Schizosaccharomyces pombe: one gene and its partners. The protein of the gene in region 1 binds, or shares a complex with, the protein of each later gene. Each region holds a gene or a part of one and is shown in the gene's direction. Other genes may lie near its edges. The genes, in order: bet1, gos1, sft1 and sec20.

Region 1 (8,277 bases):
CGTCATTTAATTCGCTCATTTTGTAATCTTTTAATTTACCTAGATAATTTGATAATCCTCAGAAAAAGTACCTCAAACATATTGTTCCTATTTTGTGTTTCCAATTAAGCAGATCTTTGGGCACGGATTTCAAAAGCTGTAAAATAACGTATTACAGAAGGTTTAGTATACACTTCTATATTGAAGCTGGTATTGTATTCTCTAGAACTGAGGCTTTTACTAAAAATAAAGCAGTATTAGCATTTTTCGTTTTCAATACTACTTCGCCATGTAGGCGATCGTTTTTTGCATTCACTCCAAAAAAGAATCATCGGAAAAACTATTGAAAGAGAATAGCAGTTCAATATGATTCTGTAAGTAAAATCCTGAACGTTCATAGAAAATCATTTTGGATTTGTTTGCTTTGTTTACAAAACAAATCACTTTGAAGTGATTCTCTTTGAGGATATGAAAAAATATGCTAGAATTCCACATTCTTCATAATGTAAACAAAACATTATTGCTTTTTGTATCAATAAATTTAATCCAAACCTCTTTTCTTTCCACTAGAAAACCACATGTCATTCATATTTTGTACTTTTCGGAAGAAAGTCAGAACAAGCTCCCACTCAGGTACTTCATGCTACAATGTAATGCACAAACAATTGAAGGGTAAAATATCTGTTGGAGCAAATGATTCCGTGACATTTCAGCCACATCACAAACGGCTTACTTCGGAATAAACAAATATTATTCTAACGGAAAAGAAAAAAAAAAATCCGCGTTCAGTAGAAGTCACTGCAAAAATATGAACCAACAAATTTGAATTCGCTTTGCTTACTAAATTTATTAAGTCTCATGTAAAGAAACAATCAACATCCACAGCCTTAAGGCAATCATGGTACAAACATTAAATAAAATATTCCACTCTTTTAGAAACGAGCATCTTAAAAAATTAGTTGACGAGGGAAGTAAACAAAGACATTGAAGTATTGCTTAGTAAAATAAAAAATTAGTCACATTACATTGTATATATCATGTATTCAAAACATCCTTCTACTCCAAATATAGCTCGTTGCAGCGCTCTATTTGCCTTCCTCTTTGATTTCTGTGATGATGCGATTCTAACAACCACAGTCATCTCTGTGAATTAGAATCTTAGCAAAATGACGGTTGTTGACATTAAGATTGGTAATAAATATCGTATAGGTAGAAAAATTGGTTCTGGCTCCTTTGGTCAAATTTACCTGGGATTAAATACGGTAAATGGAGAACAAGTTGCTGTGAAATTGGAGCCTTTAAAGGCTCGTCATCATCAGTTAGAATATGAGTAAGTAGTGCTTTAATATTTTTTTACTTAAGTATAAGTTGGATTTCTTTCGGAACTCCAATTTCTTCTTTATATCTATCAACCGTAGCTCGATGTTTTACAACCAAAAAGGAAAAGCAAAAGTTACTCCATTTGGTTATTTTTCTTTTTTCTTTCTAACATTTAGGTTTCGTGTGTATAATATTCTTAAAGGAAATATTGGCATACCCACAATTCGCTGGTTCGGTGTAACCAATAGTTATAATGCTATGGTCATGGATTTATTAGGCCCTTCTCTGGAAGATTTATTCTGCTATTGTGGAAGAAAGTTTACTCTTAAAACGGTTCTTTTACTTGCTGATCAACTCATCAGTCGCATTGAATATGTTCACTCCAAGTCATTCTTACATCGAGACATTAAGCCTGATAATTTTTTAATGAAGAAGCACAGCAATGTTGTTACGATGATTGACTTCGGATTGGCGAAAAAATACAGGGATTTTAAAACTCATGTTCATATTCCATATCGAGATAATAAGAATCTTACGGGAACGGCTCGATATGCTAGTATTAACACCCATATTGGTATTGAACAATCTCGCCGTGATGACCTCGAATCGTTAGGTTATGTTTTACTTTATTTTTGTCGCGGCAGTTTGCCCTGGCAAGGCTTACAAGCTGATACAAAGGAGCAAAAGTATCAACGGATACGTGATACCAAGATTGGCACTCCTTTGGAAGTCCTTTGCAAAGGTCTTCCCGAAGAGTTTATCACTTACATGTGTTACACTCGTCAGCTTTCGTTTACCGAGAAGCCAAACTATGCTTATTTGAGAAAGCTGTTTCGTGATTTACTTATTCGTAAAGGATACCAGTATGACTATGTTTTTGACTGGATGATATTAAAATACGTAAGTTTTGAAAAGAAAATGATAAGGTGATACGTTAGTTTAACCTTAACAAATGATTGAAAATTCGATTGACTAACTATTATTAGCAAAAGCGAGCTGCTGCTGCTGCCGCCGCTTCTGCTACAGCACCTCCACAGGTTACATCTCCTATGGTGTCACAAACTCAACCGGTTAATCCCATTACTCCTAATTATTCATCCATTCCCTTACCTGCTGAGCGGAATCCAAAGACTCCACAATCTTTCTCCACTAATATTGTTCAATGTGCTTCTCCCTCACCTCTTCCTCTCTCCTTTCGTTCTCCTGTTCCCAACAAAGATTATGAATACATTCCATCTTCGTTGCAACCTCAATACAGTGCTCAACTGAGGCGTGTTTTAGATGAAGAACCAGCTCCTTGATTTTTTGACTTTACTTTTCATCAATTCCTCTCTTACACTACGTCTTTTAGTCTTAAATTCCAAACCATCTGTTGACGTTTTAAAGTTCCACAAATATCTTTAATAATTCCTGGCTTTCTTTTTTGTCTATGGATGGCCGGATTGCTACACTAATACACTTTGAGGTTTAGCTATTGTTTTGAGCTATTCCATTTTGCCTAGAAGTTGAGTTTTAATGCCTTCTTTTTAAATAGACATATTGTGTAAACCTCATACATGCTTTACTGAAAAGACATAATTAGAGGACAAAATTTAAATCGTGCTGTTTGTTTATATTCAGCTCGTTCCGGTCAAGTTCTTGCCAAAGAATTGAGTCAGTCGTGCTATTCATTTCTAAATTTCTTCTTCCCAGAATTTTATTTTATTGTTTTCGTTCCCCATTGGTTCTTACATTCCGTTTTTATTCAAAACTGAAAAGTTTGTACCTCCATTGCTAGAAGTAATATACACAAGGAGCATGTTTCTTTTTTTACACTATCATTTGCGTGGCTCTAAACCAGTCTTTATTGCCTACCTTTGCAATAAAAGATATAATATCAATTGCATAAGAAATAATTCATTAATAAATGATAAATTTCATCGATTAAATAGATCGCTATTTTTCACACTGTATTATGGGCAAGTAGCGTAAAAAATATTAGCTCTGTTGGAGTTGACCGCTGGATCATCAAGTTTTACATACTATTTAATTTCGGCTGTAGCAAAGAAAAATATCCATCGATTTGCCATATTATCATATCTATTGCTTTCTGTGGTATTTTAACCACCGGTATTTCACTTCTACAAATGTAAACAAAGCACGTTGATTTGTTTACATTACAGTTGCCCCAGTAACACATTATGGATCAGCACCACAAAGAAAAATCATTCAAAATTGATGCTCAAATTCAATATTCTACAGGCTCAAGAAGGGATCTATACTTATTTTTACTAAACCCATAACTATCATCTCTGTTTCGTCTGCGGTAAAAAAAAAATTGTTTAGATTAATGTAAAAACAGAGCAAAATGAGATTTGTCACTTAGTACAACAATGTGTTACCTCTACACGCAACTCCTGAGTTGCGTCGCATGTTATTTGATGAGCTGACTTTGCGCACAAAACCAATACATAACAAAGAGATCTTAGGATTTGGAAGTTGCGCTACACCAAATACTTTTCATATTCGGTAAAGGGAAAGATTTTAAAAAAAGCTTCAGAATGGGATCAAGGTATGTACTAAATCTGATCAATCAATGTCTAACTAATCATTAGATTCGGTAGAAGAAAAGAACGCAATGGCGATATGTTGCCCTTGTATGAGTCTCAATCTCCTCAGCATTTAGACTCCTTGGAAAATGAAAATGATGAACGGATTTCAAAGTTAACTGGAAAAGTCAAGTCTTTGAAAGAGGTAAGATTTTTGCCATCATCAGGAAAAACATGCTAACTAATTTTAATAGCTTACTATGAATATTGGGACTGAGATAACGTCTTCTACTAAGTTGATGGAGTCAATGAACGACTCATTTGACTCGACCAAGTCACTTTTGAGCGGGACAATGACTCGATTAAAGAATGTTTCGAAGAATGGAGGAATTTCAATTTGGATGTGGCTCGCCTTCTTTTGCCTCGTTGCGCTTATCCTCGTTTTGGTAAGATTTTAGGCATTTTGCTTACTACCTTTACTCTTTTTTAGAGTTAGCATTTTTATGATTCATTTTATGGCGTGTATAATCTGTTAAAATTGTATACTTGAAGTTTCTTCATTCTCTTTTCTTCTAACATTTTCATTCTGATTATTTTAAACTTATTATCGATAGAAAAAAAACATTCATCCACCTTTGGTGTTTCCACACAAGTGGTTTGTCACGATAGGAACGCAAATCCTCAATTTTTGTTTTCCTAACGACTTTGTTTTTAACTTATTACATCCTGTTATTATAAGTTTCTATCTGTTATTCATGATACTAGCCCTTCACTCGTCGTCTTACCATTTTTGTAAATTGACGCAACTATTACATTTGAGTTTTATTCAAGTTTATCGGCATGCAGGTCATGTCTTTTGCATTTTCTATTCCCAAGCTTGAAGTATGGAATGTTTAAGTATGTGATACGAATCTTACTACTTAAATTTATTTGCTTATTACATTATTTCTGCGTCTAGTGTTCTTTTACTTCAATACTTGAAATAAAATTTTTTTTTTTTCTTTAAGAGTACAATCATGCTTCTATTCCTTTTCCTTTGTATTTTAAATGCATGTTATTTCGAGTTTCGACATATTGGGTAGGTTGCTGTTTAATAGTGTATTATGGGCACAATAATATTTACGTAAACCATCAGCGCTGTACACCTACCTATAGAAAGTTGTTTTAAGAAGATATTCGCTTTTTATATGTCTAACAGTATTTAATAACTAGTTTTCTTAAGCGGAAGTTTCGAAATTCGATCAGTAACCGTGAGTTTGTGTACAAAATGCTAGTATTGAAGATAGTTTTATTTTTATCTTTGGTGATATGGTTTAATTTAAAAAAGAGGACGGATAAGAAAAGAATTATTGTTCTCGTCCTAGGAGATATTGCAAGAAGCCCTAGAATGCAATATCATGCCGTTAGCTTCGCTAAACTTGGATGGAAGGTTGATTTGTTAGGCTATCAGCGTAAGTTATCTAAAATATTTGAATATTTTAATCTATACCACATTAGGTGTATTTGTTGTCACTAACACTGTCGTAGACCCCGGGTCATCTGTAGGACTTTTCGAAAGTCATGAAAACATTCGTTTTTATCCCATTCCTTCACTTCCTGCGTATCTTCAACCTAAGAACCGCCTTCAGTTTTTGTTTTTGGGACCATTGAAGGTTTTACATCAATTTCTTGCACTGAACTGGGCTCTTTTTGTTCGAAAACCTGCTTCATTCCTGTTCATTCAAAATCCTCCTTGCATCCCTGTTTTCTTCATTGCTCAATGTCTTCATATACTACGTGGTACAAAATTTATCATAGATTGGCATAACTTTGGATATTCAATACTTGCGTTGAAATTAGGGAAGCAGCATACCTTTGTTAAATTACTTAAAATTTATGAGAAATACATGGCCCGAGGAGCATATGCTCATTTGACTGTCTCTAAACGGATGAAAGATGTTTTACAAACTTGGGGAATGAAGTAAGTATAAATTTGCTTTTTGCTCAACTCTAACATTTTCAAGTCCTTGCTATGTATGTTATGATAGACCCCCCAACCACTTTACTCCCATTAAAAATGAACAGAAAAAGCAAATGTCTATCAAAAAAATACCTTGTGAGTACAATCCTTCTTCTACGAAGCTCTTAATTACTTCTACCTCTTGGACACCAGACGAGGATATTTACATTTTATGGGAGGCTCTTAATGAGTACGACAAAACTTTAGATACGCCCAAGCTTTTGGTGCTGATAACTGGAAAAGGCCCGATGAAGGAAGAATTTTCTCAGTACATTAAGAAGCATCCATTACACAAAGTTCGTTTTTGCATGCCTTGGCTCAGTATTGAAGATTATCCGCAGGTTATGGCCTGCGCAGATCTTGGTGTATGCTTGCATACTAGTTCAAGTGGACTTGACTTGCCTATGAAAGTTGTAGATTTGTTTGGCTGTGGTGTCCCTGTTATTGCGCTTTCTTATCCAACGATTTCTGAATTGGTACATGATGGCGAAAACGGGTTGATCGTTAACGATTCAAAAGCTCTATCGAAAAAAATGCAGGTATGAAAAAAGATTTTTTTACAAAAAAAACCTTGAATAGCGATTCCTACATAATTTATTGGCTTTTTCGTACGATAACTAACTGTTTTAGTATTTATTAACTCATGCTAATGAATTAAATTCATTGAAACTGGGTGCTCTCAAGGAATCTGAATATCGTTGGGATGATGAATGGAACAAGGTCATCCCTCCTATAGTTCAAGGTTCAAATTAAGTATTTAGATATTACATTCTCAAACCTGAATTCCTAATTACCTTTTTTTTAATAGAATAATCCAATCGTTGTTACACTATTTGACCGCATTATACATGCTTAACGAATACTTTAATAATTATTAGAACTCACCACCAAAATTTTCTTGCTATCTTCTGCACACTGCTCTGCCGTAACTCCCTCTTTTTGGGAACATCTCTTTTAGAAGATCAATTCTCATTTTTTAACTCAGTTTTTCTATTTTTGTTTCTTATTAATTTTTCATAATGTCTGCGGAAGAAAAAAACATTGTTAGGGTGTTTCGTGCTTGGAAGACAGCTCATCAATTAGTCCATGACAGGGTATGTATTTGATAATCTTTTTTCTTCAAACATATTAGAATTATTAACAACTATTATAACTTAGGGTTACGGCGTTTCTCAAGCTGAATTAGATTTGACGTTGGATCAATTCAAGGCCATGCATTGTGGCATGGGTCGTAATTTAGAGTATGTACATTTATTTAAATCCATCGTGATAATGGATTAAACAATCCGATTGATTATAGAAGCAAATTCTGTTGATATCTGCGTATATGTCCATAGACGCCGGTATTTATAAATCGGTTTACTCTTAATCTGCTTTCTAATTGATGAACATGCTTCTTCTAAACTTCCTTTATCAATTTTTTTTTAAAAACTGTTTTGCTAATGCGTTTAGTCGTACAACTTTGAGTTTTTACGCAAAACCTTCCAATGATTCAAATAAAGGCACAATCTATATCGAATTTGCAAAAGAGCCCTCCGTTGGTATTAAAGAAATGAGAACTTTTGTTCATACTTTAGGTGATCATAATCATAAAACTGGTATTCTAATTTATGCCAATTCCATGACCCCAAGTGCCGCTAAAATCATTGCTACTGTCACCGGCCAGTTTACCATTGAGACTTTCCAAGAAAGCGATTTGATTGTCAACATTACTCATCATGAGCTTGTTCCTAAACATATTCTTCTTTCACCGGATGAGAAAAAAGAACTTTTAGACCGCTACAAGTTACGTGAAACTCAATTACCCCGTATTCAACTAGCTGATCCTGTTGCTCGTTATCTTGGTTTAAAAAGGGGAGAAGTTGTGAAGATTGTCAGAAGAAGTGAAACTAGTGGCCGTTATAATAGCTACAGAATTTGTGCATAATTTTAATTGGTACATGTGGGCTAGAAATATCGCTTCAAAACTACCATCTCTTTCTTTTTCTTAAAAAATTTCAATTTGAACATAATAATTTAAAATTCAAATCGAATAAAGCAATGTCTATAGCTATTACAATGAGCTTAAATTTTTGGATTAGATAGTTTTTAGAACAATACTTTATTAGTGATTTATTCAATAAAACATCAAGGGTTGGCATTCACGTTTACTTTTTATTACCAAAAGTAGATAGTTTATAGTCAGTACTGCTTTGTATCAATATTTCATTAAGTTATCATAGCACAAACGACTGTTTAAACCGAAGACTAAAGCATCTTCTTCTTGCTGGTACTTATTTTAAGCAAGCTAAAAATAAGTTTTATTATAGGTATACTAGAAAATAGGCATACTCGAATCTAATAAAGTGTGAAGGTTGAAAAGTTTGGCGTTCGTTAAAGTTTTAAGGACATTATCAGAAGTTGAAGCAAAGGACAGCCACTCCTTTCAACTATCATCATCAGGAAACTCCC
Region 2 (9,164 bases), 270 kb from region 1:
GTTATAAATACAATATCCACGCTTGCTCGGTCAGAAGGTTTAAAGGGGTTTTATCGAGGCTATTGGATGGTATGTGAATCTTTTTTATTTATTTATTAAATTTTCTTTAAATGAGAATCTAAACAATCTAAAGCTTTACGGCCTTTGGGGGAAATTAAAAAACAAAAATAGACTTAATCAAATTTTTGATTAATCTTTTGTTAATTCTCTTTCTAACTTAAATTATAGGGAGTCGCAATTTATCTGCCTACCACCGTTAGTTGGTGGGTATGCTATGAAGAATCGAAAAAGTACTTACAAAAGCAATCCAATTGGGATATCTCAGTAATTGCTCCAATATGTTCAGCTTTAGGTACTGTTGTAGCTACTACTATCTCAACCCCTCTTGACATTGTTAAAACTCGATACCAAGTGGCTACTTCATCAGCTATGCGTAAAGCTGAATACGGCCTCCAAGCTGAAAAGGAACTGGGGATTTTGGAAATAGCCAAACTTCTGTTCTCAAAACATGGAGTTAAAGGCTTTACTCGTGGGCTTTTTACGCGAATGTGTTATATTATGCCATCAGGCATGATCTCTATGTCTGTATTTGAATCTTTCAAAAGTAAAGACATCGACTAAAAAATTCCTTTTCTATGTTTTTTTTTCATATGGCATGCCTTATTTTTGTTATACCGTGAAATAACCTTCGTCTCGTTTAAGTTTAGTTTCTTATTAGAACATCCATCGTAGCATTCGCTAAAAACACAACACCAACGTTGGATAAACATTTTGGTAAATGAATATAATTTAAAGTATTTATTGATTTAATGATACCTGTTTAAAATATTTAAGAGTTTAAAGACATTGTTTCCACTGCGTTTCATGAAATGTTGAAATCCGTCGGTACTAATGGTCGGAAAGTACCTAAAATAGCTTCGTTATGCAACTTTTTAAAATTTAATAAAAACATACACAGCAATCCAGATTTCTTGGCAATTGCTGAAAATTGGAAGTCATATTGGAAATCCCATTATCCGTTCGTCAAAAATGACAAAGGAAAGAAGAAGTATATACTAAGTATGTTCCCTTATCCAAGTGGTTTACTACATATCGGACATGTTAGGGTGTACACTATTTCCGATATCCTATCGAGATATTATCGGATGAAAGGATACAAAGTCATTCATCCAATGGGTTGGGATGCATTTGGTTTACCAGCTGAAAATGCTGCAATTGAGAACGGGATATCAGCTAGTTCTTGGACGTATGAGAACATAAAAAAAATGAAAGAACAAACTTACCATATGAATATTTATTTTGATTGGGACCGAGAGATTTCAACCTGTAATCCAGATTATTACAAATGGTCACAATATCTTTTCCTTCAAATGTTTCATAAGGGATTGGCGTACCAAGCAGAGGCCACTGTAAACTGGGATCCAGTTGATTGCACAGTCCTTGCCAACGAGCAAGTTGATTCACATGGGAGGTCCTGGAGGAGCGGTGCCATAGTAGAAAAGAAAAATCTTCGACAATGGTTTCTAAAAATTTCAGACTATTCAGATCAGCTGCTCGATGACCTTGAAACATTACCAAAATGGCCTGACAAAGTAAAGAAGATGCAGCGCAATTGGATTGGTCGAACTACGGGTTTTGAAATATCTTTTCCTTTGCTAAACGATAAAGAAACTCTTACAGTTTTCACTACTAAACCTGAAACAATAATAGATGTTAGTTTTATAGCTCTTTCAAAAAACCATAAACTTGTTTTACTAGAATCCCAAAAGGATCCTTCGTTGGCAGAACATCTTCGCAATGAATCCTTACTAGACAAAGGATATCAGCTCCCGTGCTTTGCAAAAAATCCAGTAACTGGCAAAGCTTTACCAATATTTTATGCTCCTTACGTTTTGGACTGTTATGGTACTGGCGCCGTTATGGGCGCACCTATTCACGACCGCCGAGATTTTGAGTTTGCTAAGCGTAATAACATAATATTTTCTAAAGAAAGTTGTATAGGTTCATATTTTACAAATGAGGGAAAAGAACTTTTGAATCATCATGATTCTTCGAATTTAATGGATATCAAGCAAAAAATGCTTCAGCAAAAGATTGTCAGTTACCTTGAAGAGAAGAAATTAGCCAAACGTGTTAAAAATTATAGACTCAAAGATTGGCTTATATCAAGACAAAGATTTTGGGGTACTCCTATACCAATGGTTCACTGCGAAACCTGTGGTGCTGTCCCAGTCCCTGAATCTGAACTTCCTGTAAAGTTGCCTGATCTTGATAAAATATATGAAAAAGGTACTTCGCCGTTATCAAATCTAGAAACATGGATGAAAACAACCTGTCCGAAATGTCATGGCCCAGCAACAAGAGAAACTGATACTATGGACACATTTGTAGACTCATCATGGTATTATTTTCGTTTTTTGGATTCTAAAAACTCGGAGCTTCCTGTAGGTTTAGCAAGTGCGTCCTCTTTGATGCCTGTTGATATTTATATTGGTGGCGTTGAGCATTCAATACTTCATCTTCTATATTCCAGGTTTTTTTCAAAATTCATGAAGGATATTGGGTTATGGAATGGTGATAAATATTTAAATGAACCATTTACTCAACTAATTACTCAGGGGATGGTTCATGGTCTTACTTATACAACGATGTCGGATGAACGAATACTTAATCCAAAAGAAGTCCAGAAAATTGGAGACGAATATTTTCTAATCAGTAATCCTAAAGAGAAAGTTCAACTTTCTTACCAGAAAATGAGCAAAAGCAAGCATAACGGTGTAGATCCGATACGTACTATTCAAAAATATGGCTCAGACATTATTAGAGCTTACATAATATTTTCAGCTCCAGTGGAAGGCGTACTCCTTTGGAATGAAAATGCAATAATGGGAACAAAACGGTGGTTAACCAAAATATGGAATTGTGTTCATCAGTTATTGGAACGTGAGAAAAAAATGTCTGATGCGATGAGACAAACGAAGTTAACTATTGTCGACGATCACAATAGCAGGAAACTCGAATCACAATATAATGAATTTATTTCACAATGTTCTGCTCATTATGAAAATGTATTTTCTCTCAATTTAGTAATTTCTGACGCCATGAAATTGACTAATAATATAGCAGATGCTTTAAAAAATAACAAAGTCAATATCGGAACAATTAAAGCATCTTTGGAAGTGCTTGTGAAATGTATTGCTCCAATAATACCTTGTTTTTCAAGTGAGTGTTGGTTGCTGCTAGGACATAATTCTTCCGTTTACTCTAACTGGCCCATTTCCAAAAATAAAAAGGAGAATATGGAGGAGCCCGTTACTATTCCTGTCCAAATTAATGGTAAGGTGAGATTTAAGATTGAAATGCCCAAACTCAATGATGAAAATGAAATACTAAATTTTGTGCTTGAGACGAATGATGGGAAACGTTGGCTCTCTAATAAAAAAGTTTTAAAATCTTTTGTGAAACAAAAAATCATCAGTTTAGTCACCGACTGAAAGTTGGTTGAGACACGAGCTTCATGTTTCAAAATAATTTTGATATTTACCATAACAATGCAATGTTGGTTGCGTAGTTAATTTAATGCTTAAAATTCATTTTGAATGAAAAATATCCTATCTTAATATCACAATGTTTTCTAGTAGCATAGCTTTTCTATCACTGGTATATTTAGGAATCTCTACGTAGTGGGATACTTCTCTAAACTACATACTAGTAAGAACGTCATCTGAAAGCCACATTAATCAACAGAAGAGAAACGTTTGTTTTAAAATCATAACTTAAGCTACTAATTTTTCTCTTATAAAAATTTGAAGATCTCTTTAGCCATGAAGTCTATGCTTTTGAGAGATTCGGTGAAAAAAGCGTCTCAGTTCCAAAGATCGTTGCACAGTGATCCTAACCAAGCTAAAATTCTGCTAGAGGAAAGAAGGAAGCTTCTTGAAGAAGCCAACTCTTCAGCTGACGAAAATGACTCGCATTCAATGGCTACTATCAAATCACATTTTGAAAGACTAAAACGAGATGAGCAACTTCTTAATGGCGTTTTGAAAAAATATGATGCGAAACAGGAAGTTCTATCTCCTGAAGAATTACGAGATGCACAAAACTTTTTAGAAATGCAAGAGGCAAACTCTTTAGACAATTCTATTAGAGGCACTAATGAGCTTCTTGAAAGAGCTTATGCTACGAGGGAAGACTTTGATTACCAAAATAGCGTCTTAGGAAATGTGACCAATCGCATAAACGGGGCGGCCATGTCAATCCCTTTTATTAATCAAATATTAAGGAAAACCTCGATCCGTCGAAGACGTGATTCTATCATTTTAGCTTTACTCATATCTGTCTTGATGCTTTTGTTCCTTTTTTTTCATTAAGTTGCATGTTTTATGAAACGTTTATGAAGGGCATTGATCCCGCCAAAGTTATGAATATGTCATAAAGGTTTAATTAAGATGAAATAATATAAAAGTCCTTTTACTTTTAACCAACGTTTTTATTTACCAAAAACTTAATCGCTGTCTTCAGGTTTTCAATTTCGACATTAGTTGGATCACCGGTTCCAAGCCAGCGAATTTTGCAGGAATCGTCAATTAAATACACATTTCCAACAAGTTTGTTGTTCCATCCTATTTCTGGGAAACTGAACTTATTGTCGTATGCTGTAATATATTCATTCTGCTAGTTAGCAAAAGGTTATAAATTTTGGAAGTAAATAAATCTATCTTATCAAGCGAACAAACTTGTGAGCAGCTTGGACAAATAATGCGTCTACTTACCCAGCACTTTTCTGGTATTGATCTTTTAACTTTTCCTATAAATATCTTCTGTAGCCAATATTTTATTAGATTGGATTGAACATTTGCATAACGAACTGGCAGATAATCAAATGGAGCTAGATGTTGAATCCAATTCCTACATTGGTTTTCTCCAAACGCGTTGCTAAATAATGCAAAGAAAAAGGGCGAGCCTTGCCAATCTTTATATAGCTCTTTGTACTGATTTCGTAATGACTTCCCATGAAAGTTGTACATCCATAAGGCGCTCTAAAACGTGTCAATATTTTTAAGCAATAAACTAATTTTTTTTCATTCTTATTTGAAATTTCCAGAAATGAATATTACTTTTAACCAATTGTTCATACCTTCTCCTTAAATAATCTTGGAGGACTGTAAAACAGCTTACCATTAAATCGACGAACTTCGTTGAAATCTTGAATAGTTGATCTCTTCATTTCATTCAGCAGCTCCTTCTGTCTTTGCTCAGGAGAAGATGTACTCGCGGGTTTGGTAAGTTTTTCCCATAATGTTGGCTTTTGGACTTCAGAAAGCATCGTCGGTTTTACCAGTAAACCTACTGGAATGAGAGCAGATGGGGCTTTTTCTTTTGTATCATTGAGACTTTTGGTGCTAAAAGAACGCAACTTGAACTGATGCTTAACAATCAACCTCGGAATGACTAAATTTTTTAAATAATTATATGCCATGTTTACCAATTATAGGTAGATTAAAGGGGAAATAATCTTTAATTTATTATGCGATTTAAGAAACGCAAGGATGAACTTAATTATTATTATAAACTTCAATAGATAGGTATAGCAGAAAGGAGCTGTTGTTACAGGTGGAAGTACTCTGACGTTAAAAATTCATATCTTAATTTTCATTTTGGTTTTTTAATTTGTTTTTGGACATTAGTATATATCTACGATAAAGGTTTTCTCCTTTTAATTTCATTGTAATATAATTCAAGACTAAAATTGGCTTTTCATTGGATTGCGAATCTTTCATTGAATACTATCTTTTCAACTTACATTGAACGTGCATGTAAGGATAGGAAATGGAATGCTGAGATAATGAACAATACAAACCTTTCTAATTAATTCAATGTTTAAAGCAAACTCATTTAGCGAAAAATTCTAGCTTATTAAAACAGCTGTCAACCAGGGCGTAGAGATTACAATATAAAGACCTTACTTACCCTTCTTAATGTACTACAATACAAAATCATAGTTAAAAGAGTAGCTTTTTACGTCCCTGCCGACTGTTTATGTAGATGCATGAAAAACTATGAGAATATAATTTAGTAATCGTTTATATAAGCTAATACGCATTAATATTATATTAATTCATAATGCTTAAAAATCAAAGCAATTTCAATTTCCAAGTGGGTTAGAAAGTACTAATGGGGGGTCCATATTCTCTTTAAGACATTACTCACTTGAATAGCAATTATGACTTCGTCTACTACCTCAAGTACTATGTGGGGGGGTTGACCACTTATGAAAGTGAACCTACTAAAGTAGTTAGTGATACAAAAAAATAACTAAGTGCGCAATAATTCTCCGTCAACAAATAAATCGTTGAACTAGTATTAGTATATTGGCGTATGTAAGCTAATATAGTCGTTGTTTGCGTAAAACGAATTCAAATGGCTCCCAATCTGTGTTAATACGTTATGTTATGTATGATATAAGCACATTGAACATATCGGGATGAGTCAGTACTATTTTATTATTAACAAAATTGGTTAGAATTGAATATGACAAGTTGAAGACTCAATCAGCTAAGTTTTGTCATAGATCGGATCGGAACAGGCGATTAACAGTGTTGTGCTGAAGAAAATAGACAACAATATGATCAATAGAATCAACATATAACAATTAATCATCATTCATCGAACGAATGCAAGCTTCGCGATTAAATAACCGCGAAAGATTTAGTGAACTAAATATTCTCTCAGCTTTTCATAAATAAATTAAAATTAAAACCCAAATATATTAGAAAAAAAATTAAACAAATGCCAATGAATTTAACAATTAGATCAGTTTACTTAATAAAAGTTAAGTATTGAACTTTCTGACCCTTAAAACAATAAAGAAGGATTAACAATAAGGATACGAAACATTTCAAGAAAACGGTAACTTCTAATCGCAATTGCTGCAGTATTAAAATGTAGCATGACGAGCGAATCTCAATCTTAAGAGTACACAACGAGGCAAAATGATTTTTTTATGTTGCTATCCCACACTTCTCAATACCGTTGGTAACTCATTAGTAATAGTGTTATTCTCACAAATCTCCTTAGCGGTGAAAATTCCAATTCCATGATTCATAATCAATTCTGCTAGGGGTAACTCATCAGTGTCATCTAAATCAACGTGATAAGGGATGTAATGCAGCATAGTCAAATTTTGAAGATAACTGCTTGTTTGTAGCATAGCAACAGGACACACTAATAAAGTGGATGCTTGAAACTCGGTTGTGTTTTCTTCAGGCAAATTGACGACTTTAACCTCTTCATAGTAAGTCTCCCAAAATTTTGATATCATTTGTTTTGTGGAGTAGTTATAAAGATGAGAGGTATTAATTTGGCTAAATTTTGGACGAGCAAGCATCCAAGTCGGAGCACTATAAATCTTCCAAAAATAAATAGTCGTGGGCATTTCCGGATTAAAATACAAATTACAATTTTCCATGGTTGTTACATTTCTCTGTTCGATAATATTTTTTACTTCCAAAACCGCAGGGATAACACCATTTTGATGCATTATGCCGAAGAAAACTGCCAAAACAACTGCATACATTACAAATAAAAATTTGATCCAATATGAACGAACTAGACATCCAGAGTTCACTATAAAAATAGAGGCTGCGGGTAGCAAAAACCTGGGCTCTTGGTGAGGAAACAGGGATAGTATGAAAACGGGGAGAAGCCATAACCAAGTTGCAGGTTTTCGAACGTCCCAAAGCTTTGGAACAAAAATCAGAGGACCACAAAGGAGTGGCATATTAGTGAAAAAATGTGTTAATCTTGAGTGCAATCCGTGCTGTGACAAATTTTCGATTTGAGAATTGTATTTTAAATTATTCCAAAATGTTATCACAAACACCCCATAAAACTTGTAGTCCTCGAGGATGCATGCTAAGACAGTTGCAAAAGAAACTGAAACAAAAATACATAAGTGCAAAAAGATGCTAATCCAGTTAGTGTTTATTCCATAATATATTTTTAATTCAATTTAAAAATCAAAATCACTTACTCTTTCGGATTGTTCACGTTCTTTTTAAAACATCGAACAGAAAAATAGATATAGGGGGCGATCACAAAAGCTAAAAAAGTGATTCTTGTGAAAAATCCTAATACACTAACAATTGCAAGCAAAAATGTATATAAATAACTAATTTTCTTGTTTAATGGCTGATTCTTGTTAGTTAAGAGTTGCCAGCTATTAACTTACCACACTATTCAACTTCGAAAGAAATAGTATAGTTAAAAAAAAGAAAATCGTTTCAATTGAGTTTGTAAAAGTATGTGTTTGAAATGTAGTAGCCATGAAGGATGAGGAATATAAAAGCAATGCACTCCATCTTGCGTTCAAAGGTACGATGTTCCAAATACTCAAATCTGCCAAAATTAGTCAAGGAAGGAGGAAATAAGGTTTGTAGTAAATTCTGAAATAAATTCCAAATTTATCAGAGCTTAATATTCGCCAATGTACATACCTATTAACAAAGAGATCAAACACATATAGAGTCTAGTGAACAACAAAATAGGATACGGAGAGCAGTTCGCTTTTGGATATGTAAGAATTTCGTTCAATTTAAAATACACTTACATTTGCAAATACACCGGCAAAGCAAGAAAATAGGTAAAAGCATCACATTCAAAGGAACTACAGACCGAATTGGTTTTTTAGTAGTAAATTCCCATGGAAGTTCCACTTTCCAGCCAAATAATTTATCTTTATATTAGTCATAAATTGTTGAAGAATTGTAATATACTTGCGAATATTTGAAACGATTGTAAATGCTCATCCGGATGTATGTATGAGCTGCCTTGCGAAAACCAAAAGCGTAAAATTAGGAGAAAAGTATAAATTATAGCATATTTACGGTTTTTAAACATCCTTAATCTCAATGGATAAAGCACGGGATTTATTGCTTCAGTGTGCAATGGATTACACGATGAAGATATAACGAGATATTCCGAACTATATATGTTTGTTATGAAAAAGGTTTGCTAAGCGAAAATGTAAACAACTCTTGGTCGACGGGTATATGTTTAAGAATACACGAAGCATACAAAAAGTATACGTTAAACTAATGTTTCAGTAAAATAATTGTACTAGAAGAATTGCAGGTCTTATTACATTTTAAATTAATCTAACT
Region 3 (7,667 bases), 640 kb from region 1:
TGATCTTCCAAGTTTTTTAAGTCTGCCCATAAATGAACCTTCACGAGTTACTTTGGGGGGAATTATCTCTTTCGTTCTCACAACAGTAGGGGATCCAACTACCTCAGTATGTGGCTTTCTGTTACGATTTTGCCTGGCGGGGATCGAAAAGTAATCTGGCGCACCCATCATAGAATCTGTATCTGTTAAATTTGTGTAAACGGGGTTGTTTGATGGAATTTGAAGAGACGGACCAGGACTTTCGGGGGGAGGCTCGAGGGGGAATGGGGTAGCGGAATAATCTATAGTAGGAGAAAGTAAAGGTTCTGGAGGAAGAGATAAAGGTGATGGACGAGATCGAATCCTCAATGGAGACAAAGCTGATGGCATATTCACATTTCCCTTTCTTGCTTCTTCTCTCTGGGCTTCTATCTGCTTCTTAGCTTCAGACCTTACAACATCTAAATTTTGTCTAAATTTTAAATCACGATGAAGCTCGGCATCAATAAATTCACGAAATAAATTTTTTAAAATCCACACCCCTAAGTTTATTCTTTTATCAGAAGGGGAATCAACCTTCAGAAGAGGACATTCATCAGCATAAATTTCGGCATCCATGTAGTGATTTTCATCAAGAGTAACAGCAAGAATCCCCAAAAGGCAATTAACAGAAGCCCACCTAGGTATTGCTTGAACAGTATCCAAACTTTGAACAATCTTTTCAAAATCTTCTGACTTATCAAATTCCCCGGCTTGCTTACAAGCAAGTATATCCCACAAACATTTATTGCCGACAGCGTCTTCAGTTAAGACATGCCTTCGATCACCCAACATTCGATATTTTAACAAACCAATACCACCATGAATAACATAATCAGGGGTTTTGGTTAAATTGATGTTAGAATAGCTCTCAGTATGATGCAAATCATAATATATATCCTCAGCATCGTCGTGATATAATGTTGGACAGCTATGATTTCGTATGTCAGAAGAATGTCTCGAGGGACAGTCCGATGATACAGAAAGATGAGATGAGGTATGCTTAGATAATGCTGCTCCCACGTCCTGATTAAAGAGGGGCTCATCCTTCCAACGAAGAATGGAGCCATCACGACTAGTACTCCATATGAAAGATTGACGAGCAACAATGTCAGAGACAGGAGCATCCTGCTTGCATATTGCAGTACAGCTTTGGTTGTTAGGCTGGTTTCTTATATCAGTACGAGTAATCAAGCCTGAGCGATCACCAGCATAAAATACTTTTAAATCTGGGTGCTCAGAATATAATGCCCATACACTGTCTGAATGAGCTATGAAAGAGAATAAACATTTTTGCGCCCTTAGAGACCAAAGCTTTATTGTAGCGTCTGAAGAGGCTGTGAGAATTGTTCTGCCATCATCACTAATTAGAATATCTCGAACATTGTCAGTATGACCGACTAAATCTGTAATCCTTTTCTTGGAAACACAATCCCATAACTGAATGTCTTTTTGTAGTCCGCCGTTAGCAATTATGTTGTTATTCGCTGCCAGCGAGTAAACACCAGATCTTGGACCAACAACAAGAGAACAGTCAGGTAACTGTTCAAATCGCATAACTTCTTGACCTACGTTGTAGTCCCATACAATTATCCTTTTATCCAACCCACCCGAAGCGACTAACGGACTCTTGGAATATTTGGGAATGCTTACGCGCTTTACGTAGTCGGTATGCTCGCCAATTGTTGATAAACAAGAAGCATTCAAGACATGTGGCTTCCAGAGTTTCACCGTTGAATCAGAAGAACAAGATATCACTAATAAATGTTAGAACGTCAATTTCTATAAGGCTACCGCTATTCTCCAGAGATAATTAAATTTTTCAAAGGCTTACCTCCTTCGGAATCATGTGTTAAAGCTATATCATTTACCCAAGCAGAATGAGCCTGGATTTTGGCTAAGGGCTGGGAAGCTTTACCATAATCATACCCGATGTCCCAACCGAAAAGCTGTCCATCTCGGCCACCACTGTAAAGTGCTCTAGTAACTGGTGCTGACCCTTGTTCTGAAAAGTACCGACCTAGCACTAGACAATTAGCATCCAAACGGTGCCCTAGTTGATCGTTACAGGAATCAAGAACATAAGTAACCTTGTACCGTTTCCGAACACTCATGAGAACAATAAATGAATTATTAATCTCTTAAAACAATGCAATTATAAACAAAAAATCCAATTCAAACGTAAAAAATAAAAATTTATATTATATGATGTCGAATTCAATTTATTGAATGAATTCAGGTTCAAAAGTATTGCAGAAAGATAGTGTGTCCTGAGTCTAAAACGCAGCGGATAAATAAACCCTTTTACTTGGAAACAGGAAACAGTAATGGATCCAAATATTTTGGTAGCGAGTACCTATACAAATATATTATATGTTTTGACTTAGCGATGAATAGCAATTCCTCAAATAACTCAGATGTTAAAGAACGGATCCTACTGCTCATTAAAAATGGATGGAAACGATGAACTTCCAAACCATTTACCTACTAATAAGTAGTCCGATCGATATTGGCATTTGATAAAGCAATAATTAGGCGGCTGATGCTAAGAATTGTAGATAACATTATGTTTGAGCTCGACGAAAATAGAATCAAGTTAGGAGATTCGTTAAAGGATTTATCACCACGTCCTAAATGTCGTTAAATTTTGGTAGTACTCCAAGTGATATAGAAAGATGCTAACGTATGTACATTCATTTTTGTAAAAGTTATTTCTATAATGAATGATCAAAATGAGCGGCGTTTGGAAACTCTGTCTGGGCAGGTTTCTTCTTTGAAAAACGTAACCTACGATATTTATTCCCGTGCCAATGACTATACTCGAATTGATCGGGCTGTATGTAATTTAAAAAAAAAAATTTGAGTTTTTACCTAACCTGTATTATTATAGACTGAAAGCTTTTCAGGACTTTCAAATTCTGTTAAAAAATCCACCGAAAATTTCTTCCGTGTGGTTCGAAGTGCCGGACGACGAAGAATCATGACAATGGTGCTGGCAATCGTAGGGAGTATACTAATAATCTACTATGCATCCAAATGGTTTTTTTAACACGACATGAAAGCGAATGCTACATAAAGGAACGGATATAATGACATAACCTCCTGCTTCAAAATTATAAAATGTACAAGCTTTGAATTCTTATAGGCAATAAATTTATCGATGAATATTCTGAAGATAAATTTGAAAATATAAGCGCAGAATTACATGAAATATTCTTAACGAAATACTACTCCTTCCTCGAAATTTCAATAAGTCCACCATAAAAGTAAAAATAATAAAAAATTTAATTATGACTGTATATCCATATTAAGCTTGATATTCCTCACTTTTAGGAAAGAGTTTTAAGCAAAGAGACGCAGTACTAATTGAATAGAATCATGACATTGTGCCACAAACTAAGTATTCATTCACCTTCAACCGGCAAAAAAAAAAAAAAAAAGATCAAAAGGAAGGGCACAAAAATAAATAATAATAAAAATTTTAACACCTTAGCTTCACGTTCAAGCTTTGTGCATGCAGACCATGAGATGTTTGTATTGATTTAGGCTTTTTTAAGAACACAGCATTCAAATGTACGGAAGTACAGGTAATGAATACTCTTTTTCCGATGTTTGCGCAAAAATTTAAAAATAGTGCTCAAAACTTCAATTTCTTCTTGAAAATCCAGATGGAAGCATACGCGCCCGTCTTAAAGCGTCTAGTGCGTTTCGGTGACTTCCTACACGAGCTGATGTGGGCCTATGCGGGGCAGAAGACGATCCATTTGGATTGGAGGCTTGAGAAAGATGAGCTAAAGAAGCACTACTGTGAGATGGGCTTATACCCGAAGAAGAAGATGTGGAGTGTTCGAATGACCTACGACTATCCAAGGATTGTCGTGTACTTTCAGTTGGAGAAACAAAAAATGAAGGAGATGTACGTTGTGGTGGAGTAACGATACCAGGTGATGGAGGACGTGAAAGGTGCTCAATTCGTGCAACATCTTCATAACTAGGTAATGTTGATTGTAAGGGTGATTCTAATGGAACGGCTGATCTTGTTGCTTCCTTATAAGAAGGGACTCTGCTCAGATCTGCCAAACTAGTTTCTGAAGGGTTTCTAGTAATTACAGCAGAGGCAGCTCCACTGGATGGATTAGAGCCTAAACTGAAAGAAGGCGGGAAATCTTCAGGATGATTTGACGGTGAATGTTCGTTGGGGCTCCTTCCTTGCGGTTGTTGTTGTAGAGCCAACTCTGTCAAACCAGCAATGAGTTGTCGCCTATGAGCTTCATTAGAAGCATAGGTGGGCTCCATAGAATCGCGTCGCCTTGGTGTAGTTGCGCCACTAGGGAGAGGTGTATCAAGGTTGGAATAGCTCAAACCATCGTAAAGACGATCATACATGCTGTTTTGATAGCTAGGTAAAGGCTGATTAAAACTTTCAAAATTCTCGCGTAACGACTCTACTTCGGCACGATCGCCAAATAATTGAGGAGGTATCATCAAGACTACAGGTAATGCAGCTCTTAATTCTGATATATGGCCATCAGGATTTCTTAGGGAAACGGAAAACTTTAATTTGTGACGTATTTTAATTCCATCCAAATCACAATCCTGAAGACATTCCACAAGAGAACTTGGTAGTTCCAAGTTCTTTGTAAGTTCATAGTGATCGGAAAACTCCTCCAATTCTTCGGTTTGAAGAGAACGAACGGTCCTGACTTCATCTTTCGATGCCGGTAAACCGTTATATCCATGAGCGACATGCAACGTGATGTATTCTTTCAAGGTTATACTGATTTTTCCAATAGTTAGCCTCTTCAGCAACGGAACTAATACAAAATGAATGGGAATATATGACCCAATTGCATAGGCTTTTGTTGGAACGCTGATGGTATACTCAATTTTGTTTGGCCAAGTATTATCAACGCTAATGGTTTGAGTATATTCAATGGCATCCGCAGGCAATGCTCGAATAAGACGGATGTGTTTCTTTTTCACCATTTTGCTAGCTAAACCCGTTCTATCGATGCTTGCTTTAAGACGATAAACAACATAGCAACTTTGAAGACCTTCGACAGATTCAGCAATATCACCGGGAAGCATTACGTGAAACGGATACTCGTAGTTTCCAGCACGTAAAGTACGGTTGGCACCCGTATAAGGAACGAAGATCCAGTTTTTCTCGTAAACAACATATTCTTGCTTATTGTGTCTTTGGCCGCCTCTTACAGTCGGAGAAGGTTCTGACCAGGAGATGCGACATTTTCCCACTAGTTTTAGAGATATTGCTTTGACACTGATGGCTTCATTGAGACACAGAACTACAGATCCTGACAGTGGTGTCGGTTCTGCCGAGTCTGCTAGGCCTTGAATTACGATAAGATCATGCTCTGCAGCTACACGAATATCGAAGTAGGAAGCGACATTTTCTTTCCTTGAGAGAATATTCATCTCTAACACAAGGAACCAATTTTATATTTGAAAAGGGATTCAAAAGTAAGAATAATGAATTCTCTCTGAAATATTTAGTCAACAATTTTATGTAAATAACTATTACAACCCAAAAGACCCCGGCTTTGGATTATTTGAGAATGTACTACCCTGAAACAATTAGACAAAAAAACGAAAAGTACCGTGTTAAAAAATTTCCCTTAAAATTTGATTTGTGTATACAAAAATGCAAAAATACTTTTTCTTGGGGTTTATAACTTCAATAATGTAGACAAAGCGAAGGTTAAAGGACTGTTGTGTGGTGACGTTTTTATAAGCAACCTGCTGTAATATAGTATTACATACTTTCTCACATTACATAAACAAAGTTTAGCTAGTTTCGTTATACACACTATTGTGTAAATTTTAAACAATTTTAGATGTTTCACTAGTTTGTACGAAGTAAATAAAATTTTTAAAATAGTCGTGTTTTTTATATATTAAGCGGGACTGTTTTCGTATCCCTCATTCATAGCTATGCAACGAAATACCCGGGCAAGCTTGATTCAGTGGACAAGGTACGTTATTGGGTTTTACTAGAGACAGATGTGCAGAATATTGGTAAGAACCTTCTTTCCCCACTTTAAACTTTTCATTACATTTTTTCTTAAACATCACATAGTAAAAATAAGTGCTATGCGTTTGAATTTTTCAGTTTTTTGCTGTTTATTGATACCTTCAATCGACTCTCATTCACCATCGATATATAACAAACTCCTTTCTTAACTAACCCCTCTACTCTATAAACATTAGCACAACTTAATCTTCAGTTTAATTGAAATTAAGTATCCCACATTGTACAAATACAATATAGCAAATATGAGTGGCTAGAATAATACAGCATTAAAAGTTTGAGTTTTGAGTGTTAACCAAATATTTAATAAGCTTTATGATTAGTAAAGGACAGTAATCCTGAGACACGCTTAATAGTCAATAGCACCTTTTTGGTATTATTATTTGAATCTCGTGTAGTGTGACTCGCTTTCTATAGCCTCATTGAACTTTCCATCATTATAGCAAAACTTTTAATTCACAATGCATTACCGTTTTTGGAATCAATTCGCAAGACTCTGATATATATCGAGGAATGGTTTATTTTCATTTTAATTTATAAGTGTGCCTCTGAACAATTACGAATTATAGATGTGGATATCATTGACGTCTCATTGTTATTATTTTTTACATTGCTAGTGTGTTTCCTGCTTCTGTTATAAATGTTGCACAACTTGTAGAGCTATTAAAAAAAAATATTATTTTAGATGTTTCTATAATATCAAATATCGTTACGTATCCATCGAATAATTACAAGAAATTAAGACTAAACCCAGATTACAAACCTCTAATCAAATGCAACTGCTGAATCCAATCCCCCCACTTAACGTATTGCTACAATAATCTGATCCAGTGTTATGCTACAATTATACACTATCTCTGAATTAACGTAATGGAGCATTAATGATTTTTAAAAAAGGTAATACTTTCGCTAGTTTGTATAGCAAAGCAGTCAAGTCACTTCTCCACAAAGGCAGGTTAGGAGGTTACCAAATGTTTGGGTAAATAATTAGACGTATGCATGTAATAAGAAAGAAAGTTGTACTAACGTAGTTACTAGGTGTTAAATAAAGCTTTATCCTTTATTTTTTATTTTTTAATAGTACCTAAATTGTATAAGTTGGAAACCAAAAAATAATCTGTAAGTAAAGAGAAAAAATTTGTTCATAAATTCGAATAGCGACATTAAAGCAAATTTTCTTTGTATAAATTAAAATTAAAAAAAATTTTAATCTTAAATGTTTACATCGCGAACAGTAATGTAAAAAGTTGCACAATTGGCAAAATCAAATTTAGGAAATAAATTTTTGAAGTATAAAAGAAATAAACTGTATAAAGGACTTAACATGATGAACGAATTTAAACAAATTGAAAAAAATATGTATATTTAATTACAAATTACAGCTCAAAAGCTTCAAAGTCATACCCTCGTCTTCTTAAATGTATTTATTTATTCAATAAATTTAAAAAAAAATTTTCGAATCCCTTGAGAATCGATTTTCATCTTAAAACTGTTAATAGTTTGATCTTCCTTTAGTTTAAATCTTTAAGCAAACTTGTCACGTATCATTACTGCCTTCAGAAAAAGCAGCTTCTTCGTACATATTGTCGGAAGGCATAGC
Region 4 (8,242 bases), 3.1 Mb from region 1:
GTTAACCCTGTACTAGATTGATGTGTTGCTGAGGCATCAGCAACAGGAGAAGCTTTGCTTTCGGTAACATCTTGCTTCAAAGGTGGAGTAGCAACATTTGATATGGTAGGATGACCTTGAAAAGTAGCAGTACTAGGAGTTGGAGCATGTATTACCGTAGCATTAAAACTTTCTTCCTCATAAGAAGGTTGAGGTTCGGGAGCAGGAGATTCAAGATAGCTATGAGGTTCGTAAAAATCCACATTTAAACTATTAAAATCCGCTGGAGGAGGAGATGGTAAAGGATGACCGATAGAAGAGCTAGGCGAGGCCATTTCGTCGGGTAAAGCGGGGCGACCACCAGAAGTTACAATAGAAACAGGAACAACATTTCGAAGTTGGGAACCAGTTGAAGGTCTGGACTGGTGACCACGAACACGATTTGACTTTTTTGGGAACATAAATTCATTATCTCCAAATTCGCCAGAGGGCGTCTTTGGCAAAGGAGGTGGGCTAAATATACGTGGAACTGCTGGTAAATCATCTAAATCATCATGTGCAAGACTGGCTAAAGTGTCGACTTTACCAAACCGTAAGCCAGGCGGAGGAAGAGCACGCGCACTGGTGGAAGGGTCAACTTCATTCTGCTTATCCTCGTCAATACTGTCCTCAGTGACCTCAGAAATGCGACTGGGAAGTTTGCGCTCTATGGGTTCAAACGACTTGGAGGTAAAATCGGGCGAATGCCAGGTGCGAGGAGGCGTAATTGGTGAGTTAGCAGCCGATTCTACATCAGCTGTAGCACCGGCACCAGCTTCTTTCGGGGGATCAATTCCATCAATTACTTTACGAACAGCACGAGCAGGATCCAGCAAAGAAGTTGGGGAAGGAGTTACCACTGAAGAGCTATCTTGTGGAGCCATGAGACGAGTGACTTGTGGAGCAGAAGGCTTTTGGGGTACCGCTTCGTGTGCTTCATTAGAGGCAAGTGTTTCCTTATCAAAGTTAGTAATAATTGGAGGAGGAGAAAGCACTTTTTGCTTCTCCGGAGAAGGAGTTTTATGAACTTGCTGTTCGGAAGTTTCCTGAGTTTCTGGGATTACTGGTCCCTTAGTCTCTTCCTCATTATTGGGACCCTCAGCAACAATAGCTTTATCTGCATCGTTGGAAGGCTCAGTGACCTTTATTGGTTGGTCGGCAGACATAAGGCCTGGTAAAGGCATTATATTCCGGGGGGTATCAGGAGTATCACGGTATTCTGCTGGTTGGTTTTGAGAAGGTTCGGAAGGAAGTGGACGCTCCTCCTCCTTCGGTGACGGAGCCTGCTGAGCATTCGATTGTTCAGTAGGTTGAGTAGAAGTGGAAGAAGAGTCTTTTGGTGGAGAAGAGTCATTAGTGGTGCTCTTTGCTTCCTCGGAGGATTTGGCAGGAGTTCTCCTCAAAGTGTTTTTCCGTCCAATAGGTGCAGCTAGACCAGGCAATCCAAAAACATGCATACCAATACCTCCACTCATTTTTGCCATTCGTTCGCGTAGGGCAATTCGTTTAGCTTCTTCGGGATCAATTTGTTCTTCCTCCTGCTCTTGTTCTTGTTCTTCCTCTACATCTTTATTCTCATCATCCTTTTCCGATGGTTCATCCTGGTCTTCAGGTTCAGATTCGGGTTCGTGAGTGCTATAGGGACTGTGCATCTCATCTGACTCAGCATCGTCATATTCATCTTCCTCCTGCTCACTGATTTCGCCCTGTGATTTACCGGGCTTTTGAGGATCCAAGTTAAGGCGCTGAGAAAAGGCTCGATTCAAATCAGTAAGGGGTTTAGCGGGCTTTGAGCTTGAAGCTGGCTCATCGGAATTCGCAGTATTGGAAACAACAAAAGGATCGTCATCCTTTGCAACTCGCTGGCTCTTTGATAATTCTTCTGCCTGTGAGTCCGCAGACGGAGATTGATGGGAGGACTCAGTAGCCATGGTGGAAGAAGCTGCGGGATGAGTGCGTTCCAAAACGGTTATTGCGGATGCAGATGCGTTATCAAGATACCTTAAAGAGTGTTGGGTAGTTGCGATGTTTGGTAAATCAGTTGGGCACTGTGAATGAGTACAATCGACAAGAAAAACTGAATTTGGGTTAGAGGGGATGACGGTAGACGTGTTGGTGGAAGTAGTAATGTGGGTAGTGGTGGTGTTGGTTACAGCAGCACCGGTAGCAGCATCCTCACCACCAGTAATAGTGTGAGTAGCGGTAAGTGGTAGCGAGTCGTTCTCAGTGGAGCAAGATGGCGTCTCTTCAGATATGGTATATGGAGCTGAGAATGTATGCAATTTTTCCACATTTTTTAAAGAATGTGGACGCGAGTTGCTGTCGTTACCGAATGGCGCACTCAATGTATCCACATCAACTATCTTCGTAAGTGCTTCACTTGTACTGTCAATAAAGTCATTAGCTGAAAGATATGATTCTGTATCGGCACCAAGATGCTCTGTATTGTTGGAAATCGACTTGATGCTACGTGTAATAGAAGGAGCATAACCTAAGGAAGAGTTGCGAGAATGAACAGCACTAGTTGGCGTAGGTTGATGAAGAGCCATTTCGCTAGCACGTTCTACAAACACAGCATCCTCTGCTGGCTCGGTAAAGTCCTTTGGAAAGGAGCCAATTTTCCTGTTACCGTCCGAGTCCACATATGTTCCGGTATACCAGTCGCCGTCCAGATTACTGACGACGTCGATAACTTGGCCTGGATCAAATTCCAAGTCATCGGAGAAGCTGCTTCTATAAGGATAGAGTGCAACCACTCTTGTGGGAAACGAGCTCATCGTGGAGCCTGCGATCCGCTAATACTTTTTTTAAGTACAAAGAGAGATCAGATAAACAATGAACCAGTATAAAAAGAATGGTACCATTCAATATACAATACACTGATTCTTTTTTCCTAAAACACAGATATACAAAAAGCCAAAAAAAGAGAAAACAAGATACCAAAGATGAAGGCTCCGCCGATTTATTTTACCACTAAAAATATATACAAATGATAGCGAAGCTGAACGTCATCGTTAATCTCTTCTATTAGGATATCTAAGCCAGTACACTGTCATTTTGGTTCCTAAAGGGCACGCGATTTGTGCAGACAAAGAAGTTTGGTCAATCTTAACAGCAATAAACACCCAAATGATAATATCGCACGTGAAGAAGCGACTGACTACATGTGAGACGATTTTCAATGAATGAACATTGTGGGGAAAGGATCTGGGGAATTCCCTTCCAATCGTAACATCTTGTTGACAGTGATTCGTTCGACTAGCCAAAGGTAGCGTAATGCACTGTAAGATTATTGGGTATTATTTTGCTTATCAATGTTGATTGGTTTTTGTTATTTAACGTTATAATAATATTTACGCAATTGGATCTGGTTTCCTATTTTACATAAGGATACACTAGCAATCCTAAAACGAAGCCACAGCATCGTTGGTTTGCTATATTTACGATTACTGTGTGGGTGTGGGGTATGGTATGGATATGGATATGAATCATTAAGATTAAGGACCAGTTATTTACTAGTGGAAGATATGAATAGGGTGGATGTAAATTTATCATTATTATTTTTAACGGTAAAATGATTTTCTTAAAGAGACCTACAAAACTTTCTTTACATGATTGGTGCAACGCATGCTTTTCTTTATTTTTTTTCCTTTGTCCACACTCAACTGAGAGGGTAATTTCTATCAAAATTTTTAGTACCAAGGCCAACGCACTGTCTTAGTTCGCTGTAAATGAATTGCGTAACTCAAGAACTCTTTAACAAAAATTGCACGGCGCTAAAGTATTTTTACGATGCTCATTCCTCCTTCCAATGCTTGACTGACTCATATCTGCCTAATAGCGATTTTTAAGACCTTCTGTTTTCCAGCTGACTCCAATATATCCAATTCAGATATGAACAAAAAATCAATTCTCAAAAAGCCGAAAAATGCTCAAAGCACTCAAGAAAAGCAATTGATCACGTGGTCGAAGAGTCTTATAGATGAAGCACGCAGTCGACTTCAGTATGATTTTTTTGCCCTCGAATGGATTGAAAAGCTGGTTGATCCGGTTTCCCTAGAAACTTTAGAGGAAGCTCGTAAATACCTTCGAAAAAGTGATTACGATCAAGTGGTGAAGGAGCGTAAACTCGTCAATCTGTGCGGTTATCCCGTTTGTCCTTATGAACCTAAGCAGCAAACTAGGTATAAATTAGAAGATTCAGGAATGAAGGTCTACGGTGGACTCAACTATTATTGCTCGAAGGATTGCTTTCTAAAAAGTTGTCAATATATGGTTGAGTTGAGCGACGAACCATTATGGATACGTGAAGATGCTCGCGAAGCTATGAAACAACATCTCGATCCTCGTCAAGATGAAGCATTTCGTAAAGAGTTGGAAAACAAAAAAATTGAAGATGTACGCTTACTCCTGCAAGCGTTGCCTGTGGGTTATAAGGCAAAAGTTGGTGAAATCGTTGAACATCCTTTGGCTAATGAACAATCATAAAGCAAATGGAAGTTTATCAAATTTTTTCTTTTCACCCCAGAATATGTATAATATTTTTGAACAAAAAAGACACCGACTTGTGTCTAGCGTCGTTTGAACTAGAATGAAAGGTTGCTTCATTCTACAGTTGCGTGCATAGTAACATTTCTGTGGTTTTCGACTTTTTATTAAAGATCGATACAATATTCCCTTTACCATTTACACTTTCTAATTTATTTCACCTTATTGCCTTCTATCTTTATTGTCTCTTTCTCTCTCTTAGCATCTTTATTTCTCGTTATTTATAATTCCGCATTTGATTTCTTTTCCTTATTCTATATACCGAACCTTTCGATGTATAGTCTTATATTCACCTTCAGCTGTGCTATATTGTTAGTGCATCCATCATTCGTTTCCCACTCATCATCATTTACCTTTATCGTTCTTTCCTCTTGCATCTCATAATACTATTTCTCCTTTAACTTGTTCAATAAAGCAGAGAACATAGCATTCGATGGCCGACGTTCTGAATGCACTAGAAGAAAAAGTTGTTGAATTACAACAGTCAGAAAGCGTTGAAGTTATTAAAAGGCATTTTCGAGAGTTTAGAAAAATATGGGAAACTGCAAGGGTAGAGCTTGAATACTCATCCATTCAGCTAGACTCAGTTCTACGATATGAAAAGGCTGTACAAGAATACATTCGGTTGAACAGAAGATATCGGAATAAGATTGCTAGTGGTGAACCATGGTTGCCTATCGCACAAGAAATAGGTAAGATTGTAGATGAAGAGGAAATTACCTCACCAAGTGATGGTTCTCTTCAAAAGCGTTCAATGGATAACTCTGGTTCGTGGCAATCTGATGATATTTATCTTACAAGCGCCAGTCAGGTCACGGCGGCTATGCGTGATATTCACGCACAAATGGTACAGGCAGTGGATATGAGTGCCGAAAATGCAATGGAGTTGTCTTCGAGTACCAACTTGTTAGAAACTCTACAAGAGAAATATTTTGGTGTAGAGGACGTTTTATATACAAGTAAACGGATAATCAAATCGCTCAAATTAAGTGATCGAAGTGATTACTTTTTAGTCGTCTCGGGATTTGGGTTCTTCATATTTGTGGTTGTCTATCTTCTCTTCAAGCGAATTGTCTGGCCTATTCTTTCTATGTTTCTTTGGTTTCTTCGGTGAGATTTTGAAAATGCATTGTTTATTAAAAAGAAAGGCGAGATTAAAAGCAAGGCTTTTTGAGGCTCGTTCCCATCGAGCTCGAAGTATCTATACGAGAAATTATTTTTTCGCCCTTTTTCTCAATTTTATTTTGAAAAAGTCTTTGTAAAGTAGTTCTTATGTTTTAATGTTTATCTTATACGATTGGTTTTTATTTACGTGTTGTTCTCTTTAAATAAAAACGTTGAATGGCGTAGAAGTTTGCTGATGATAGTAATGCTATAGTATTTGTAACTCAATGGGAAACGCCATTCCGTAAACAAAATGAGTTCTTGCTCACGAAATATGCGACAGTCGGCATGCAGCTGCATTTCAAATCATTCTTATTGTATATGCCTCTTTGATTGTCAAAACCATTTGTTTGACCACAGTACAAAAAGAGCAGTATTCTTTGAATTCCTAATAAAAACTAGAGCGCTTGTTAATTGGGAAACGCATCTTGTTAAGTCTGTCGCATATTTTCTAGGGTCCGGTACGAACGCCTAGAATCTGAGATCGGATAGCAAACTCCATTAAACCTATAAACTTAAAACTAATAACTGCTTATGTAAAAATTCATTAACCAAACGTTCTAATTATTCAGTGTCCTGGTTCTATTTGTTTGTGTGCTTTCTACTTCAAATGCGTAATATAGTGTTTACAAGCACGTAAGCATAACGATATAAATTAAGGCACATGCCCCGCGATGTCTCACAACAACTTGTCTTTAACCAAACTCTTTACGTTAGTTAACGGAGATATAAGTCTTTAAAAGAATTATCATAACTAGGTATCTGTCGTTTGATCTCGTACTTATTTCTTTGGTCGATTGGTGATTACTAGTGTAGGAGCATTCAATTAGATATAAACATTATTAATTCCGTAAACGTGTAAACACTAGTTTTCTCGAAATTCATTTGTTGTGACCTTTCTGCATTTCATCTCTGTTTTTTTTTCTTTAGTTTAGCATGACTCACACTCCTTCGTTCGATCTCTCTGACATCAAGTCCACATTAAGTACTAATGTACTGCATGCCGATGATGCTTATGCATTAGAAAATGATGTGGCTCCTCCCATCCATATTTCTACTACTTATACTTATCCCGGTACTCCTGACACTCTTCAGCCTTTCACCAAACTAGCGGAGGAAGACTTTCCATACTATGCCCGTATCAGCGGCAACAATGTTGATCGAGCTGAAGCTTCGTTGAGCAGTGTTCTTGGTGCACCTTCTGTTGTTTACTCATCTGGTTTGGCTGCTATTTACGGACTGTTGTCGTATTTAAATCCCAAACACATCGCCGTTCATAAACCCGGTTTCGGTGGTTATTCAGGCACAATCCAAATTATTGCACGCATCAATCGTCTAACCGGTTTAGAAACCTCATTTATTGATGGCAAATGCGATGCCATCGGTGAAGGTGATGTTATATGGTTGGAAACTCCTTTGAATCCTTTAGGTATTGCCTTTGACATTCCTTTTTACAAGGAACTGGCAAAAAAGAAGGGTGCCATACTTGTTGTGGATTCTACTTTTGCACCACCCCCTATCCAGGATGCACTTGTTTTAGGTGCTGATTATGTAGTTCACTCGGCGACTAAATATCTAGCCGGCCACAGCGATGTTTTGGCTGGAGTCACAGCCTCGAAAGATAGATCCAAGATCCTTGATTTGAAAGCAGATCGTGCTTATCTTGGCACAATTTTACATCCTCAGCAAGCATTCTTACTCTTGCGCTCTCTTCGTACCTTTCCTCTTCGCATCGCAAAACACAGTGAAAACGGATTTTTGGTTGCCCAACATTTGAACAAGTTGGCTACCGATGAGCAATTTGCTACTAGCCTAGGAATTGATAGTAGCCTGATTTTGGAGGTTTACCATAACTCCTTGCAGACCAAGGAATTTGTCGCTAAAAATTTGACTGGCGGTCATGCATCTTGCTTTTCTGTTCTACTTAAATCTGACACAGTTGCTAAGCATTTGTGCTGCGAGTTGAAATATTTCCATCACGCTACTTCGTTGGGTAGTGTGGAAAGTTTGATTGAATGGCGAAGAATGACGGATTCCAAGATTGATCCTAGACTTGTTCGCTTGTCCATTGGTATTGAAGACGCTGCTGACTTGATTGCCGATTTGAATCGTGTCTTTGCATCTTTAAGTTAAATCATTGTGTTATTTGCTTGTTTTCTAATGTACTAATGAATATTGTAATTCGTTCCTTTTGAGAACATTTTTAATTCTTGCTATCTTTCTTTGCAATTTTTTGTATTGTTGTGTTTCACGTAAAAATTCACCTTGATCGCTATTGCAACAGTAAAGCGAAGGGTACGATAGAATCGGTGAGATGTCATGTTCTAGGTCATCAACCCGATCATTTTCATTCTTTAACCTTCGAACATGCTTGGCATTAACAAAACCCATCAAAGCCTTTACTTGTTCATAACTAAGTATTCCCTCAATTGTCCAGGATGGACTTTTCAACCCTTCATGATTCAAACTATAACCAAAAAAGAACTCACGTATAAAAACTAAGTGAAGGTAC

What was found.
Region 2: bet1 (region 1) and gos1 share a complex: the UniProt entries of both Schizosaccharomyces pombe proteins name them as parts of the SNARE complex.
Region 3: bet1 (region 1) and sft1 share a complex: the UniProt entries of both Schizosaccharomyces pombe proteins name them as parts of the SNARE complex.
Region 4: bet1 (region 1) and sec20 share a complex: the UniProt entries of both Schizosaccharomyces pombe proteins name them as parts of the SNARE complex.

Annotation. Positions count from the first base shown.
Region 1 is NC_003424.3:1,047,890-1,056,166, forward strand, and holds bet1 (SNARE protein Bet1), read left to right. Parts: upstream 1-3,779; 5' UTR 3,780-3,839; coding exon 3,840-3,850; exon of another isoform or gene 3,851-3,893; coding exon 3,894-4,032; exon of another isoform or gene 4,033-4,081; coding exon 4,082-4,285; 3' UTR 4,286-4,835; downstream 4,836-8,277. Other genes in the region: serine/threonine protein kinase (CK1 family) Hhp2, read left to right, coding at 1,146-1,309, 1,476-2,199, 2,286-2,600; mannosyltransferase complex subunit Alg1, read left to right, coding at 5,095-5,278, 5,355-5,787, 5,831-6,365, 6,457-6,579; DNA-directed RNA polymerase subunit Rpb5, read left to right, coding at 6,846-6,920, 6,985-7,067, 7,279-7,753; autophagy-associated lipase Atg15, read right to left, coding at 8,252-8,277. UniProt on the Schizosaccharomyces pombe protein: SNARE required for targeting and fusion of ER-derived transport vesicles with the Golgi complex.
Region 2 is NC_003424.3:777,663-786,826, forward strand, and holds gos1 (SNARE protein Gos1), read left to right. Parts: upstream 1-3,698; 5' UTR 3,699-3,824; coding exon 3,825-4,373; 3' UTR 4,374-4,479; coding exon of another isoform or gene 4,480-4,674; 3' UTR 4,675-4,775; coding exon of another isoform or gene 4,776-5,042; 3' UTR 5,043-5,140; coding exon of another isoform or gene 5,141-5,482; 3' UTR 5,483-5,757; downstream 5,758-9,164. Other genes in the region: SPOM_SPAC4G8.08 (mitochondrial iron ion transporter), read left to right, coding at 1-69, 229-621; SPOM_SPAC4G8.09 (leucine--tRNA (Leu) ligase), read left to right, coding at 870-3,494; atp10 (F1-F0 ATPase assembly protein), read right to left, coding at 4,480-4,674, 4,776-5,042, 5,141-5,482; smp3 (alpha-1,2-mannosyltransferase), read right to left, coding at 7,013-7,970, 8,036-8,193, 8,234-8,400, 8,499-8,567, 8,612-8,737, 8,778-8,901. UniProt on the Schizosaccharomyces pombe protein: Nonessential SNARE involved in retrograde transport within the Golgi complex.
Region 3 is NC_003424.3:409,871-417,537, reverse strand, and holds sft1 (SNARE protein Sft1), read left to right. Parts: upstream 1-2,698; 5' UTR 2,699-2,737; coding exon 2,738-2,854; intron 2,855-2,908; coding exon 2,909-3,067; 3' UTR 3,068-3,293; downstream 3,294-7,667. Other genes in the region: bun107 (WD repeat-containing protein), read right to left, coding at 1-1,775, 1,853-2,132; rod1 (arrestin/PY protein 1), read right to left, coding at 3,664-5,454. UniProt on the Schizosaccharomyces pombe protein: Vesicle SNARE required for retrograde transport within the Golgi complex.
Region 4 is NC_003424.3:4,101,380-4,109,621, reverse strand, and holds sec20 (SNARE protein Sec20), read left to right. Parts: upstream 1-4,903; 5' UTR 4,904-4,999; coding exon 5,000-5,680; 3' UTR 5,681-5,889; downstream 5,890-8,242. Other genes in the region: bbc1 (SH3 domain-containing protein), read right to left, coding at 1-2,795; RNA polymerase II CTD phosphatase Rtr1, read left to right, coding at 3,913-4,506; SPOM_SPAC23A1.14C (cystathionine gamma-synthase-like protein), read left to right, coding at 6,667-7,863. UniProt on the Schizosaccharomyces pombe protein: SNARE required for targeting and fusion of Golgi-derived retrograde transport vesicles with the ER.